2 linked regions of the Caenorhabditis elegans genome follow. The protein of the gene in region 1 purifies or fractionates together with the protein of each later gene. This does not show direct contact. Each region holds a gene or a part of one and is shown on either strand. Other genes may lie near its edges.

Evidence for each region.
Region 2: the proteins of mps-1 (region 1) and shw-3 purify together in Caenorhabditis elegans (affinity purification with western blotting, with the first as the bait; one study listed by BioGRID). This does not show direct contact.

Annotation. Positions count from the first base shown.
Region 1 is NC_003280.10:6,290,447-6,297,168, reverse strand, and holds mps-1 (MiRP K channel accessory Subunit), read left to right. Parts: upstream 1-2,807; 5' UTR 2,808-3,017; coding exon 3,018-3,097; intron 3,098-3,197; coding exon 3,198-3,345; intron 3,346-3,547; coding exon 3,548-3,637; intron 3,638-3,684; coding exon 3,685-3,791; intron 3,792-3,901; coding exon 3,902-4,051; intron 4,052-4,318; coding exon 4,319-4,517; 3' UTR 4,518-4,644; coding exon of another isoform or gene 4,645-4,657; 3' UTR 4,658-4,710; downstream 4,711-6,722. Other genes in the region: nyn-3 (RNase NYN domain-containing protein), read left to right, coding at 4,645-4,657, 4,711-4,822, 5,201-5,261, 5,308-5,379, 5,435-5,496, 5,548-5,658, 5,754-5,872, 5,931-6,145 and 1 more.
Region 2 is NC_003283.11:12,973,379-12,983,615, reverse strand, and holds shw-3 (BTB domain-containing protein), read left to right. Parts: upstream 1-3,006; coding exon 3,007-3,059; intron 3,060-7,274; coding exon 7,275-7,373; intron 7,374-7,425; coding exon 7,426-7,530; intron 7,531-7,576; coding exon 7,577-7,637; intron 7,638-7,683; coding exon 7,684-7,812; intron 7,813-7,883; exon of another isoform or gene 7,884-8,033; intron 8,034-8,345; coding exon 8,346-8,666; intron 8,667-8,715; coding exon 8,716-9,120; intron 9,121-9,306; exon of another isoform or gene 9,307-9,456; intron 9,457-9,768; coding exon 9,769-9,885; intron 9,886-9,943; coding exon 9,944-10,048; intron 10,049-10,096; coding exon 10,097-10,204; downstream 10,205-10,237.

The sequences.
Region 1 (6,722 bases):
TCTATTTTGAAAATGTATTTTCTTTATAAAATAGAGACACCAATAAAAATTAAATTTTTATTCGTCTCTATTGTGAAAATGTATTTTCTTTATAAAATAGAGACACTAATAAAAATTTTAAATTTTTATTCGTCTCTATTTTGAAAATGTATTTTTTTCATAAATTAGAGACACTAATAAAAATTTTAAATTTTTATTCGTCTCTATTTTGAAAATGTATTTTCTTTATAAAATAGAGACACCAATAAAAATTAAATTTTTATTCGTCTCTATTGTGAAAATGTATTTTCTTTATAAAATAGAGACACTAATAAAAATTTTAAATTTTTATTCGTCTCTATTTTGAAAATATATTTTCTTGATGAAATAGAGACACTAATAAAAATTAAATTTTTATTCGTCTCTATTTTGAAAATATATTTGCTTGATAAAATAGAGACACCAATAAAATTTTTAAAATTTTATTCGTCTCTATTTTGAAAATGTATTTTTTTCATAAATTAGAATTAGTCAGTGGGATGGTCAGTGGCATGGTCAGTGGGATGGTCAGTGGGATGGTCAGTGGGATGGTCAGTGGCAGAGCGGTTAGTTTATATAACTGGAACTTTGGGTACTCTCCGATCAAAATGTTTTCCAGGTGCTTCGTCGAATGTGGCTGCTCAATCGAAGGTACCCAAAAATGCTATGGCTGGTTTCGATGGAGTAATTTTGTACTTTTGGTCAAAGAAAGATGGAAAACGTTTCTGTAGAATCTCAACAGAGTGTTGATCAAAAAATCGGAGAAACTGCCTACACTTGAGCAGAACTGAGTTTGACACATAACCGATATACTTTTGGAAATGCAGCTTGTTGTTTACGGAAATGTCAAAGTCTTTAACTGAGTCGTTTTTGGTAATGTATGTTCAGATTAAATTTCAGGCGAGATGTACTCGCCGTCGGTTAATGACTTAAAAGGAAATGTTTTATGATAATAATTGGAATTATTGAGACTGGATGGGAGTTCTGTTTTATAGAGAAATGTAATTTGAAATTGGTGCTTCGTAACATCACTAATATCAGTTTCTGTCGAATATGAAATTTTTTTTTATTTTTTTTTTCGAAATAAATATGAATGCACCGTCTGTTTTTAACAATTTCTACCATATTCAATCTGCTACAAATACTCTCTATGTCTGTTTCAACGTCATCTGACTTTGCTTTGCTTTTTGGTCGTTCATAACAGTTGTTGAGAGTGTGAGTGTAAGAAGCGATGACCCAAACAGTTTCTCAATAATTTTCCATCTATCCAACAGGGATTCAACACGTTAACCTGAAACATTGTATTCATTTTAAATCGGGCATTGGTCTAGTTTGAATTTGAAGTGTTAAACATCAACTTTGAACAGTTAGATAGTGACTCTAGAGCAACGAGCGCCCGATACGAAACATTATCAAAGAAACGTATATTTCAGAACTAGAAACATAGCAAATTCATGCTTTACCAACTGCTTAATTCGCTTTCCTTCCTTTCAATTTTTCGCACATTCGCGTGCCTGTCAACTGCCTGATAGGCTTTCTGCCTTCTTTCTATAACCCCCATCATGCCACACACGCATTTTGTGTGGCATGATGGGGGCTATAGAAAGATCCGAAAAAAATGTCCAAAAACTACACAAACACCGCGGTTGAGATCACTTTTTTTCGCTTCCAATTGGGTTACAGTGAATTCTGTGGAATATATCAAGATATTGAAAACCAAATTGCCATTTTAAGTTTTAAAAATTTAAAATGGATACATTGTCAACTTAAGCATAAAGGATCGTTGGCTGGCAAGGAAGAAAAATCACAAAATTTGGGGGAGCTTACTTTTTTGACTTTATAAATTTTCACCAAATGTCACTTCCGTCACCGGTAACCAATCACAAAAAAATTTTCATGAAATGTTTTTTAGAAACAAGGATACTTTTATTATATAATAATGAAAATAAATCATTGGATAAATCTCATTTAAAAATCTCAATTAAGCTAAATTGAGCCTACTTGCGCGCCACGGTCGACTGGGTTTTTGAGTTTCTTGAGGTCTGTGCGGCTGTAGGTAAATGTTAAGTTTTATATGTCATTATGTTCGATTTTTTCTATTCAATAAAATGTATATATTAACTTGTTTTGATCGCTGTCCAAGAAAAAGTTACAGTTCCGTAAAGTGGTCGCCATAATTATGGACCACCCAGTAGTTATCTGAATCAGTTGATTAGTTTCCCTTCTTTTCGAAACTTTGATAATTTCTGGTAGAGCAGAGTCAACCAAATGAACATCATATAAATACAAATATTTATTCAGTTGATAGTTTTTTGGTGTATCATTTCACTAAAAAGAGCTATGACTTGATGGGTGATTACATATGAATATATGTAAGAACAAATAGTAGAACAGTGTAGGTAATGGTTTCGAGTTTGATGTTTTTTCGTTATTCTCCAAATCAGGAAAGTGTGAATAAAGTCATTACTGGTTTGAACTGGTCTTGAACTCTTTAAGTGGCTCTTGAAGTGGATCTCGGTTCAAATTTTGACTTTGTCACACACTAGTGAAAAGTACATTAGTAAATGAGTCTCTCAGTAAAAGCCAACTTTTGGCAATTTCCGATGGCGACAGTTTTTATTTTGGTATACATCAAACACAAACACTTTAATCCCTTCTTTCTCCATACTCTATACTTCCATTCAATGTCCTCTCCGATGATAATAAAAAACATGTGAGTATGTCTGCGTCTCTTCCAGAATCTGCGCACACAAATATGTGCTGCTATGGAAATGCATGAAAATCAAGGGAGGAAAGCAGTCTTCGAGAGCAGTGGCGCCAGGGCTCGTTTGTGCACCACGTCGTCTTCTTCTCATCGATTAGTGTGTGACACCTACTACAACTCATCATATTTCTGAAAGTTCATTTGACCTAATCATTTGTTTCACTTTCTGTCTGATCGTTTTAATTGATTAGTTTTTGGCGTTATTAACTCTGACTGACAGTACTCTAATCTTTCCATGCACAAAAATATCAGTCCCACGTGCCAAGAAGGCATTCGAGAAGCATGCATCACTTTGAAAAATGCTTGTGATCCCCAGTGAGTTTTGATATTTTGTGACAATTAATCGGGGAAAAAAGACAAACAAAAAGTCAAACTTTGGTATGAAAATCTCTTAATGAAAAGTGGCAATTTTCAGAGTACTTGACAAGGCTGCAATCCGAATGAGAGAGTACGAAAATGAGTTCGGTCGAATACTTTATACAATATCAATTTTAATAATGTTCTCATTTGTCATTATTCTCCTAATGGTACGATCAATTCGGAGAACACAATCAACAGTTGAGGTACGTTTGGAATTTCACAGTAGACAATCGAACTGTATGAAATTGTATGAAATTAGAGAGGACCGTAGGTTTTTGTATGTTGTTTGAAAACAAAAACCCGGTCAAATCAGAAGTTTTGTTACAAAATTTTAATAAATGTAGAAATTTTGAAAAAATGCTAATAACTTCAGTATTAAGCTACATGAAGTTCTCTATATTTCAGATGGATTCGCTCCTTGATGCTATGCGAATTCGAGAAGAATTAGAAATACAGGAACGTAAAAGAAGACGATTGATGAGAGCAAAAACCCAGGTATATTTATGAAAATACATCGAAAAAAAATTAATTCAAAGTTGTAGGTGACTGCATGGCTCGTGAACAAAAACAAAGAGAAAGGACCAGAAAAGCGAAAAGATAGCGAATGGAAGCCACTTCCAAATGGAACAAGACCAAGAGGACATTACAGGTAATTAGCAGAATTTTTTAGAGAAGTTATAATCAGGGAAACTAAAGAATTAACAGAAATGGTTTTCTATTTGCTTTTATATAACCTTTAATGAATAATTATAATTACAGCATATCAACAGTCACATCAGACATTCCGGAGATTGTAGTAAGTGCTGACGACTGCATACATTCTGATTTTCCAAATCGTCCACATACTCCTGCAATCTCAATGATTTACGATTTTGGAATTGCGTCACCGGATTTAATAGAGCCCGATAGGTGAGAAAAGATGAAAACAGATTAGTAGCCAAATATGAGACACTACTAAAAAATGGCTTTTTGGTGGTTTTTATAATATTCTAGCGGTGAAACGTTTATGAAAAATGTCGAAAGTCTTATTTATAAATGCAAAATAACAACACAATCGTATTGAATTTGACCACACCGGCGTTCTAATAGATGAAACTTAAAAATGAAACATTTCATACAATAACAAAACATATTTCAGCAAATTCAAACGAAACCTCAAAGAATAATATATTTCAGCCGTAAGCCATCAATTTCCTCTTCAACAGCAATTCCCATGTCATCTTCGTCATCTTCATCAATGAATTCATTGATTGAACCAAATATGAATTCAATAAAATCAAATCCTCGAACATATTCGCTTGACACAAACGCCTCCACGTCATCGAGAACTCCTCGTGTTGATTGTGACGATAAATCATTTAGCTTAGACGTGTAATTTTGTTCTCATTTTTATATGCATTACTTATTTATCTTCACCATCTTCATTATTTTGTCCTGTGATCGTCAAATCGATTCGATTTTCAATCAACTTGTCGTATATTTACACTGCTTATGTACATTGGATGATGACTAACAGTAATTCTTTTTTTCTGGTTAAAATTGAAAAAAAGAGAAATGAAGTATTTTAGAAACCGATAAAGAAAATGCTTATTTCAAACCACCGACTCAAGAGGCAATATCGAGACCGCTTGTCATTGATGGATGCAACATTGGAAGAAGTGCCTCTGGATATGCTAGAACGTGGGTTGTCCAGAATATTTTCTCAATTCAATGCTTCCAATCATTACAAACTTCTGATATTGTTGAAAATTGCTTGTTTTCAGTCCACTCATTAAAATTTCGATGATTTTGAGCAAGCTCTTTTGAGCAAGCAATCTTAATGCCCCACCTTGGTTTTTGACGCCAACTTATGTCATAAGTTTGATCTAAAAACAGCAGTTTGGTTCAGAAATTGGCAAATATTTATGCAAATTGTGCCAGAAATGAATAAAAGCATGCCCTTGGTAGATGTCTGGTAGATGGTAGAGATTCCGTGGACACGTGGGAAATTAAGTCGTGGCTCTGTTCTTTTAATGAATTACAAAAAATAATACGCACAAATTTCTGTATTTTTTTCAGTCACGTGGATTGTGCTGGCCTCGTCTCCGTTGTCCGATGGCTTCTTATTCGTAGATTTGACGTAATAATTTTTTAGTTTTCTTTAATTTCCCAATTACAAATTTCAGGTGACTGTTTTCCTGCCTGTTGTTTACAACAATGTTAATAATTATAACTCGAAAAATGCGGAACTACTTGCAGTAAGATAATCTTTGTTCTCTAGGCTTTTTGGATTCTGATTTTTGATTTTCTCAGAAATTGGAGCAACTTGGTATTGTGACATTCACGCCGGCTAGAAGTGGTCGGGGACTACGAAAGTGAGTCAGAGTCGGAATGAAGTCAATGTGGGCAAGTCACGTGTTTTTCAGGGCGTTTATCAATTATGATGATTTGTATGTGGTTTCGTATGCAGCCAGACATGGAGGTACAATTGTCAGTGGAGACAAGTTCAAAGATATTCTCAATCAACCGTGTTACAGGTAACATTCCTATCATATTGTAAACTAGACTAGGACTTTTTCGGCTTTTTTAAAGCTATGCATTAAATTCAAATTTAATATTACACTGGTTTTAGTGACTTCCACCACGTCATCAGAAACCGAACAGTCGATGTAAAATTCCGACCGCTAACACTCGATTTCGTCGAATATCAATCAGATCGGTTTTATCGACATGCTCCCGAACTATTCACATGTAAGAAATTATTTCTATTTTTATAATCGAACATCATCTAGAATCTTGTTATTTTCAGATGAAAACACTAGTCAACGAACCGAATCTTTGCGTCAACGACTATTTGCGTTGCCTCATGAACCGGACTATAATCTTGTGAAAAATTCGAAACGACAAGTGACTGATGAGAGGAGAGCTTACTTGTGTGCTGAACTTGAAGCTATTCTCATTTCAATGAGTTATGCAGCCGGGAAAATGTTTCGAGATGTTGCAGAATTGCCATGTATTGATAATGTATGTGTACTTGTCCAATTGCCAAAAAATAAGGAAATATTTCAGTGTTTTCATGGATTAAGAGTGGAAGATGTTGCTCCGAAGAAATTTGCGGATGCATTCTACAGAAAATATCCGAAACGAGAAGGAAGATGTGATTTACTTCAAGAATGGGTTATGGAGCCTGTTGTAGAAGTTTCTGAGAAACAAACAAATAGCAATGAACTAAGTGATGATGTTCTTGTTCCAACTCCATTGCCTCTCCCGGAAAAGTCTAGTCAATCTGTCGTGAATGTTAATAAAGGAAAAATCGAACTTCCAAGAGATCATTCCCTTGGGTCGTTGCTTCAATGGTTCACACTGGCTGAAGAAGCAAATAAAATCAAGAAATAATAATCGAAATATTGATTTTTGATTGAGATCTGTTTCATTTTTACAAACAATTCGATAAACGTTTCGATTTTTTGCATGTTTTCTTTTTTCTATCTCTCGATTGATATCTTTGAATGACCTGACGGGTGCACGTGTTGAGACAGCTGTCGTTCTGAGAGGACAGGAGACTTTAAACTATTCAGTTAGGATCTCTTTAACATCAGAT
Region 2 (10,237 bases), on another chromosome or scaffold:
TCAAGTTGATTGACCCGTTCTTTTGTTTATATTTCTTGATGTTTTCCTATTCTCTTACTTGTTTTTGTTCATACTTCTCACGCATTTGTATGTTGCCAAAAGCAATCAGTATGCTAATTGAACCTCGTGAGATAACTCTATAACCTCATTTATATATATATTTCTCTTTTGTTTTTCCCTTTGTCAGTTGTATAACTTTCTTTTATCAAATTATTTCCCTACGAGATTTTTAGAAAACTCGTTTTCCTGTTTCTTCTGTTTTTGCTTCATCACCATCAAATTTTCATCATATCCAAACAGCTGAAAAGTGCTGGAAAAAAGAATGAAAAAAAACAAGATTAGTATTCGGGTCAGTATGGGGAACCTCTGAAAAAAGAACGGCTCAAGGAAAAAAAATACTGAAAATATAGTCTGGCGTTGAAAATTAGAGGCCAAAGGCGGACAAGAGCAATATTTGAAATTAATTTCTACATGCTTCTTTTCCTCATCTCACTTCAAACAAAAAATTTGCTTTCTTTTTTCTTTTTTTTTTGCAAAATTAAACTAACTTGTGTTGCAAACTAAATTTCACGAAAAAGTAACACAAATTTTTTTGAAAAAGCTTAGTTTTTTAAATAATACCTGTTCATTTCTATATTTCCAAAAATTCCAAATTTCAGAATGTAGTTTCTCACTTTAAATCATATTGAGAAGTCTAAATTATATAACTGCCTATATTTTTCATAGTAAAGCTTTTATGCAGTTTAGTTTCTCTGGAAAAAAAAACATGGATTATTTTCGAAATTTGTCAAATATTTTGCTTCAGCGTCATTTTCTAAATGCCACTCAAAACATCCCGAAAAAAATGAAAATAAATTTGACGATCATTTTTGAAGTTTAGTTTACAAATCTTTTTGTCGAAATTATTTTTGAAAATTTCAAAAAATTACAGTTTTAGTGTATACCACTTTGGTAATTAAAAAACGTTTTTCAGATTCCAGTAGGTCTATGAAATTGTTGAGTGATAAGTTGAACTTTAAGCTGATGCTATAAAATAATTTCAGAAACAAAAATTGTTAACTTTCTTGAACTAATCATTTGCCAACTAACAATCAACTATAAATAAAGACGAATCCTGTAAAACAATTGCATACCTGTATATCAATCAATTTACTGTTTTCTATGTCTCCAGCTTTTCGAAACTCTCAATGAAGAAAATAAAAGTAAAGAAACAGAAAAGTACATTTCCAAAAGTGCTTGTCACTTCCAGCTCTTCTCCGTGTCCGTTTTGATCTGAAGTGCTTGCGACGATGGCGACCGAATAGCTGACTTTCTCGTGCCAATTAATCAAATTTATTCACATTCACATTCGCACACATATCTCCACCGCTTGCTCCTCCTCTTCTTTCATTCTTTTTTTGGTGAAAGCACTGATACATCCTTCTCATCTAAGAATTTGTCAACTGAAACCCACCCAAATTATACATTTTACTCGATTCATTAGATATATCTCAGTTCTCGGTTTTCTCTTTTTCCGCTTTAAGATCACTGTTCATTTTAATTCACATATATTTTTAGGTGCTTGCTTTCTAGTTTTAAAGTTTCCCACGTACTTTGCTGTCATAAAAACGTCATAATTTTGATAATAAGATATTTTTTGAGACTAGTTGACAAATTAATATGATATATACATATTCAACACTCTCTTGCACTTTTGTTATTCGCAGTCACTTCCAAAATAAAAATTTTATTAGCTGATTATTAAAATGTATCGCTATGTTCAAGCTTGTTTTTGATTTTGCATTAAATTGAACTTTCGTTTTGGGAAATTAAGCAATATTTTTTTATTATTTTTGTCTATAGAAATAAATTTAACAAAAAATTAGTATTCTTCAAAACCTCGACTGAAAATGATAACCTCAAGCTAAAAGTTTCGACGTTTTCTCGTTCGTTTCCAAAGTTTAAAAATTTACCGTATTTCTTCTATTAATATGGCTGCAATACTATTTTTCGAAGGTCTTCCCGCTTGCAATACTATTAGGGAGTGCAAGACTAATAGGGAGTGAAATACTATTTTTCAGAACATTTTTCTGTGTTGGGGCTTACTAGTATTTACTTGAAAAAACTCCAACTTTAATTTGGAAATATAGAAAATTTGATTGAAATTGCAACAAAAAGGTACAATAACTTCAATCTCATAAAAATTTTCTTATAAATTGTTGCAAAATATTCAAAAAATGTTATTAAAATCTTAAAATTAGTAAGGAGGGTTTGCACCAAAAAAAAGTAGGTGCAAGACTATTAGGGAGTGCAACACTAATAGGGAATGCAATACTAATTTTCGGAAGGTCTTTGAAGGGCAATACTAATAGGGAGTGCCAGTCTAATAGGGAGGCCAAACTAATAGAAGATATACGGTAAAAGATTATAAAATTAGAAGTGAAGATGTTACTAAAAAATTGTTCTCTGTAGGTTAAAATTCTAACTTGCTTTTTCAATAAACCTAAAACTTGCCTGGTAAAACATTTCCCCCGTTTCCGGGAATTTTCCTCAAAATATATCAACTTTTAATAGCAAAAGTGTTCTGAGACACTGAAATTGATATCCTGTGAAACAGCATCTGACCACTAAAACAATTATCGAAACTCAGACGTTCAATTTTTCCATTTTACAAAAATTATAGCTTGAACACATTTTGCAAAATGCCGAATGACAGATTCAACTTTGAACAAATATTTTGCATTTTGCATTTCCTTTAAAAAAAAATCTCCCAGTTATTTTGTCAGAAAATGGGGTGACACAAGAAAGAAACTTTTTTTGAAAAGCCTTGTTTGTTGCTTTCTCATTTATTGCCGTCGCCGGAGGCCTCTTTCCGAATTGTTGCCAGGACACCTTTTCCTAGTTTTTTCGTTGATTTTCATGTCTCACAACTTCAATTTTTCATTCTTGATCGAAATATTCTTCGTTTCAATTTCTGCTCTTTTTCATTTCTTCTTGATTTAGTATTTTTGGATCGTCCCCCCGTCAATGTCAATTCGACGACGGAACAATAATGGAACAAGTCCGTCGACCGCATTTGGGTAAGTGTTTCAAACAGGAAGAAATTTCAACAAAAAATGAAAAAGCAATTTGCAAAATGAATGGGAGCAGTGGAAAAAAAGTGAAAATGAATTAGATATACTGATGCTCTCTCTCTCTCTGCAAAAAAAGAAGATGAGAGAATAAAAATTAAATTGAGAAAAGGGCAGGTTACAAAGCTCATTGTCCTTTTTTTGCCAATCATTGTGAGTCTAAAATGGGCGACAGCATTCAAAAATTGTGAACTCTAGATTTTCGGCTTAAAAACTTGCATGCCGTGTTCGTAATTGTGTTTGTAGTGTTGTGAGCTAGTTGAGTGAATTTTGCTTAACAATTTTAAAATTCATAATTTTTTATTATAATGTGTCACTGTAAATAATACTTTGGATTTTTTTAACCATTATTTCCCACGATGAGTTATCTGAACCGGTTTATCGTTATCTGAAAACTCATAAATTTTACCAAGATTTCTGCAAAATACGGCTGATCTTACAACAAGTCAGTGTATTAGAGGGCGCAACACTAACTTTCGATTTGCTCCTAGGGCTGCAATACTAATATAGAAAACACGGTACATAGTTTTACAAGGTGTTATAAATTACAGTTATTTTTCTAAAAGTTTTATAAGAACCTCTTAAACTTGGACTATTTAAAATCTAAACTTCAAAACATTTTTTACAGCTGGATTTTTAACCCCGATGCTTTCTAACAACTTGCTCGCGTAAATCTTATTTTTCTTAGCTTCTACCCTGACAAAAGTAATAAACCATTTTCTTCAAAAATATCTGGAATAACAATAATAATAAAAGGGTAATAATCCGGTGTGTCCACTCATTTTTGCACCAACTGCTTCCTTTCCTCGGTGGCCCACATCTCCTTCATTTCCTTTATTCTTTCTTTCCCGCACTCTCGTCATGCGCATTCTTTTTTTTTCAGTCGACACCTTCCAAAAGAGAAGTGACAAAGTACATTTCCGTGTCCTTTGATGAGCAGCAATTAATGGGATGGAAGACTAGTGAGGGTGGAGGTGAATCTAGGAGAGATTCTAAATGTAGCCATGAATATAAATATTTGCTCACAAGTATTTTCTTTTTTCGCCCGGAAGTATCGCTTGAAAATCTTCGAGATCTTGAAAATCTTACTATTAGGTTCTTATAAAAAATGCTTCTTCAGATTCTAATTTTCGTTCTTACTGCACGTTATTTCCTATGTTTTGCTTTTTCGTCTAATCTAGTAGTGTCAGATTCTCAATTTGCTGCTGACCTTCTCACTTTTCATACAAATTCTTCATGATTCGGTTTTTCCACTATTCTCTCCCTCTCTGTCTCTCTATTTCTCTTCCTCTCTTTTTCCTTTTTTCACACTCCAATGCGGCCACCCAAATTGTATTTTCTGATGATATCTCCATATGAGCCACAGCACCAGTTACAATCTTGCTCAACAAAAATCATTTGTTTACCCCAAGTCACAAATATTCTCGAAAATTGGAACTAAATCTAGAAAGGCACTTCTTTGGACAGAAATATAATTTTAATCTGAACTTCTTATTTGAAGATGGAGTATTGAGAGTAGGGAAATGATTTGAAACCGCTCGTATAGTCCTAAAAATTCAAACTTTGCAAATCAATTTTGCAAAAATTTTGTTAAATTGTTATAAATCTCAGTCAAAAAGTGGAGATAACTCAAAATTGGTTTCAAAATTTTAAATGCGTTTCAATTTTTGTATTTGAACATTCTAGAACATTCAAACCTGCAGCAATTCTTAAAATCACTCAAAAAAAACCGCATTGTTGGAAAAAGTTGCCAGTTCTTCCAAAATTAGAGTAAAACAAATCGAAGAACAGCTACACAGCTAAATTTCAAAAAAAAACGGAGTATTTTCTTACATTAGGAATAACTGATTATAATCAAAATAGCCTGAAACGATACGAAATCTAAAAAATATATAAATGAACAAAAAATTTTTCAAGATAACTCAAGCATCTAATTGTCTAACAAGAAGTAACTCTTTTCCTTTTTCTTCAGTTGGCACCATCGATAATTACGTACATTAAGCCGAGTCTTCTCTGTCCGTGTCCTGTGTGTCTCATCATGATCCATGTACCACCTTCTTCTTCTACTACTACTTCTTGTTCTTTTTCCTCCTTTCTCGAAGTCCTCTTCCTACTCTCTATTTCGTTGTCCTGCAATCTAGAGTATGTGACAAAACATATCAAATTACCCGTGAACGATAATCTCTCTTTATTTCGTCTCATCTCTCTTTTTGCTCTGCAGAGGATCGGCTCATCATCCACTTGTTGGAATGTCTATTTTCACCGCCATCGCAACACTTTTGACAATTCAAAAAAATAATTTGTTGATGTTCGCTTTTTCTGTCCAACTGTTTCTAGGTGACCGAGTTCTTTTGCTAGAAAAGTCAACAAAAAGTGAATTAGCTGGCTGTTGCTGGGGAAAAATGTGGATTTGAAATATTTTCGGTCACATTTCCCTCTCGCTTTGCTTGCTTTGAATCAAAATTTCAATAGGTACTTGCTTTTCGTGTTTTGAGACTATTTGGACTTTCTTTGTGGTATTTGGGTGTGGGGTTTATAAGTTCAACGTTTCGTTTTTTCTTGCCAAAATGTTTAGTAATGATAATGCAATCGTTTCCAGACCAAAAGGCGTACAATTGTAGTTTTCTGATTTCGGAAGTTAATTGTATTTTTGGAATGTGAAAAACAATCCGGCAAAAACATTGAACACCTCTATCTGGTTGATACAATTTTACGGTGTATTTTGTAATAAAAAATAGAATTTAATAAATATAGCTGATCAGAGCGAAAAAATACAAAGAACCACATGGAGTCATATTCAAAAATCTATAGAAATAGTGACGTAGGAAATTATAAAATTATACATTATCCGAAGAAAAATAGCTTACTCAAAAAATGTTCATAATCAAGATCGACCAAAAAATATGTTTTGAGTTGTTATGTGAGTTTATAAGAGTATAATGTAAACAAATATTTATCCATGAAAATCATTTTCTTAAATTTGAATCGTTTTCTAATAGAGCATTTTTATTAAAATAAATCTGTAGGTTTAAAAAAAATTGTTTTTAAAACGTGACCTCCAAAAGAACTAAAATAAATTTATTTTTGTTTTATTGTCGAAAGTTTATTGTTGAAATTGTAAACTTGGGAATCTGCCTCGCAATAAGTATCCGTACAACTTACTTTCTAAACTAACTGTGGATATTTTTGATATTATAGGTTAACTTCAAACTTCTTTTTTTTCAAATCGAATAGATGTTTTTCTACATTTAAAAATAAATTTTTGCTCTAAAATGATATGCACACTGAAATTAGCAGTTTTGTGGATTTACCTAGAAGAATTTCCTCAAAACCTTTGTAGTGATACTAGAAAAATGCAGAAAACTTATTTTACCCATATCAATTCAAAATTTTCGGAACTTTTTCACGAGTACCGAGCCTCCCAATCTTAACAACTATCTGTAACTATACATCTCACGACGCCTCTCCTTTCGTCTTGTCTCTCATTTTGGCGTATGTGATCAAATTTTAATGAGGAAGCGGAAGGGACCACAAACATACAAGAGCGGGAACAATGGAAGCAAGAAGGGTGGGACGGGAGAGACATAGGAGATATGGCTCCAACTGGGGTGGTGTTGGTTGTGTGGCGTCGGCTGCGGCAAAAAATAAGACTGCTCCTCTGGCCCTTCATTCTCTGCTCTGGTGGCACGCTTTTATGATTGTTATTATCCGGTCTCAACACAACAATTCATCACGCTCCAGATGCTGCTTTTGTGCCAGATCTCTTGAGCCACCAGAAACAAACTTACAAATTTACGATTTAGATGCATTACGGATAACTTTTGTGAACATCCCCCTCCTCCTACCGTAGTCGACTCCAAAGTGATATGTTTTCCGTCATTATGTTCGGGCTTATGTGCATTTTTATGTACGTCTTGCTTTCTCAACAACAGCTTTCTAAGTTTGATATCACTTTCTGTATATTTAGCTGAGATTAAGCGTCCTTCGAAGGATATACAACATACTGAATTACGTCTAGTGAAAGGCTTAAAAGTTAACTAGTAGGCCTGACTGAAAAACTTGGTTTTTGAAATCCAAAAAAACATCAATTATACATTGCTCACTAGTCAGTTAACGTTGTTTTTTTTTCATTTGCTTACAGAAACAATTTTCTAATAATTACAGACAGACTGTCATGGACAGTGAATACCGGATCATACTCAACGTGGGTGGTGTTCGACACGAAACCTATAAGCATACGCTTAAGAAAATTCCAGCTACACGGTAAAGTAACAATTATTCCATATTTCTTTCTAGCATGATTTTTTTTATTCAGACTATCCCGGTTGACTACAAATTTGGCCAATTATGATCCAGTTTTAAACGAGTATTTTTTCGATAGACATCCCGGAGTTTTTGCGCAAATACTAAATTATTATAGGTAACAAGGCACAAATCGCATTTTCGATAATTTTTTTGAGTTTAAGAACGGGCAAATTGCATTATCCTCTTGACGTGTGTGGACCATTATTTGAAGAGGAGTTAAAGGTAAGAAGATAATTGTTAAAAGATAAGAAAATACATTATTTTTTAGTATTGGGGACTTGATTCAAATGAATGCGAACCATGCTGTTGGATGACATTATCTGGTACAAGAGATACACAAGATGTGCTCAAAACATTAGACGAGTTGGATATTGAAGTTGATCAAACAGAAGGACCTGTAAGCTTTTTGTATAACAAGAGAAAAATGCAGAATTTTAGAACATTTTTTATCCATTATGATTCATTTTACAAAGCAATATAAAAGTTTTTGCGACTCCTAATCAAAAAAAAACCGGCATACTAAGTACAACGTGAATTTGGTTGCTATGTCTGCACATTGTGGAGTAAAAAGTAATCGAATGAGATCGTGGCGAGACCCACCGAGAAAAAAACCGTGCCTTTAAATTTTAAAGGCACAGTTTTAAATTTGAAGTGTTCCTATTATAGTTTTTTTTGAAATTTTGAAGCTTCATTTTAAAGTTTAAAATGAAGCTTCAAAATTTCAAAAAAAAAACACTATAATAGGAATACTTCAAATTTTTCGAGGTTTCAAACTCGCTATACTTCAGATTTTAAAGTAACTATTATAGAAGTAAATATTGGTGCCAGATATCTCTCAGATAGTCAGAAAAATTCTATTTTTTACCAATTTGACAATAGGCTTGGTCTAAAAAAGTCACGATTGGCAAAATTAAAACTCGAAATTTTCAGGAACTGTACAAACGATTTGGTTGGGAGGATGACTATCATAATGATAGTCTCAGTGCCTGGCAGAAGATCAAACCTCGGATTTGGAGGCTTTTCGATGAACCAAATTCATCTAGATCAGCACAATTTATAGCAGCTATTTCTGTATTTTTTCTGATAACAGCCATCATTGTTTTCTGTCTGAAAACCCATCCTGGTTTGAGGATCCCTGAATTAGCTCCATTTGGAAACTTTTCGCGGAATCATCGGAGTACATCTTCACGAATACATCCTGCACAGATAAACATTGATAAGGCCAATTCTAGGCCTCATCCAACTTTTATGGTACAGTATACAGAAAGATTGAATATTTAATATTCCTTATACTTTTCAGTACATAGAAACAATATGTAACATTTGGTTCACGATTGAAATTCTGGCAAGATTCTCTTCATGTCCATCTCGTTTTGAATATCTTCGTGCACCTGTGAACATTATCGACATTGTTGCCACTTTGACATTCTACATTGATTTATTATCAAGCATGTTTGGAGCAACTGCAGATCTTGAGTTCTTCTCCATCATTCGTATTATGAGACTTTTCAAATTGACTCATCATAATTCGGGACTCAAGATTTTGATGCACACCTTCCGAGCATCAGCAAAGGAATTGATGCTACTTGTATTCTTTTTGGTATTGGGAGTTGTTGTATTTGCATCACTGGTGTATTATGCAGAACGGGTGGAAAGTAATGAAGATAATCAATTTGTGTCAATTCCGATTGGATTGTGGTGGGCGGTAAGTTGAGAATGTCTATTTATACTCACGTTAAGCCCTTTAAATTTTGAACTCAATATTTTGAAAGTACCTTTCTCCTTTTTTTTATTTTTTGAGTTGGATGAATGATTCAATTTTTCAAAACTATTTTTTATAGTTTCCAAAAAATTTCTGTACTGCGTGCCCACTTCTAAACATTCTTTAAAAAACAATTAAATGTCTGGAAATAACGTATTACGGGAACACTACGTTTTGAGGATGCGTATTGCGCAACATATTTGACGCGCAGAATATCTCGCACCGAAAACTACAGTAGTTCTTTAAATGACTACTGTCGCATTGTTTTTCACTTTTTTTTTCTGATGAAACATTGTAAAAAAACAACGAAAAATAGGAGGAAAATTAAATATCGTTGTCACAATTAGAAAAGAAATTCGTTTCGAAAGTGCAGCCTGTAAATTGACATCAGTGTTATAATAACATGTTACAGTAGACATTTAAAGATTTACTGTAGTTTTCGCTGCGAGATATTTTTCGCGTCAAATATGTTGTGCAATACGCATTCTCTGAATTTTACATTCTCGTAATATTTCTTGTTACAAATTCTGAAAGTAAAATGAAACCTTTCCTTGTAAAAATGAAACATCAGAACAAAATTCCAATTTCCAGATCGTCACAATGACAACAATTGGCTATGGTGACATAACACCTCATACATATCTGGGCCGCCTGATTGGTTCGATTTGTGCTCTCGCTGGTGTATTGACAATCGCTTTGCCAGTTCCAGTATGTTTTCCATTTATTATTCAAATTAATGTTGCCAGTTTTGAATTTTAATTTCAAGGTCATCGTCTCTAACTTCGCCATGTTCTATTCCCATACACAAGCTCGTTCAAAGATGCCCAAGAAAAGACGAGGAGTGCTCTCAATGGATCAAGTTGCTCAGCATGTAAGTAAAATATTCTAGGGGAGGCATTCGTGTATTTCAAACTTTCAGGTAAAACATGCTCCGGTTCGAAATTCCAATGGACCAACGCAACGGAAGAATATGGAAAATACACCACTTGTATCCAACAACCATACACCGCCACATACCTTAATCTAGTTGTTTCATAGCCATTTTTTCCCTCAAAAAAGT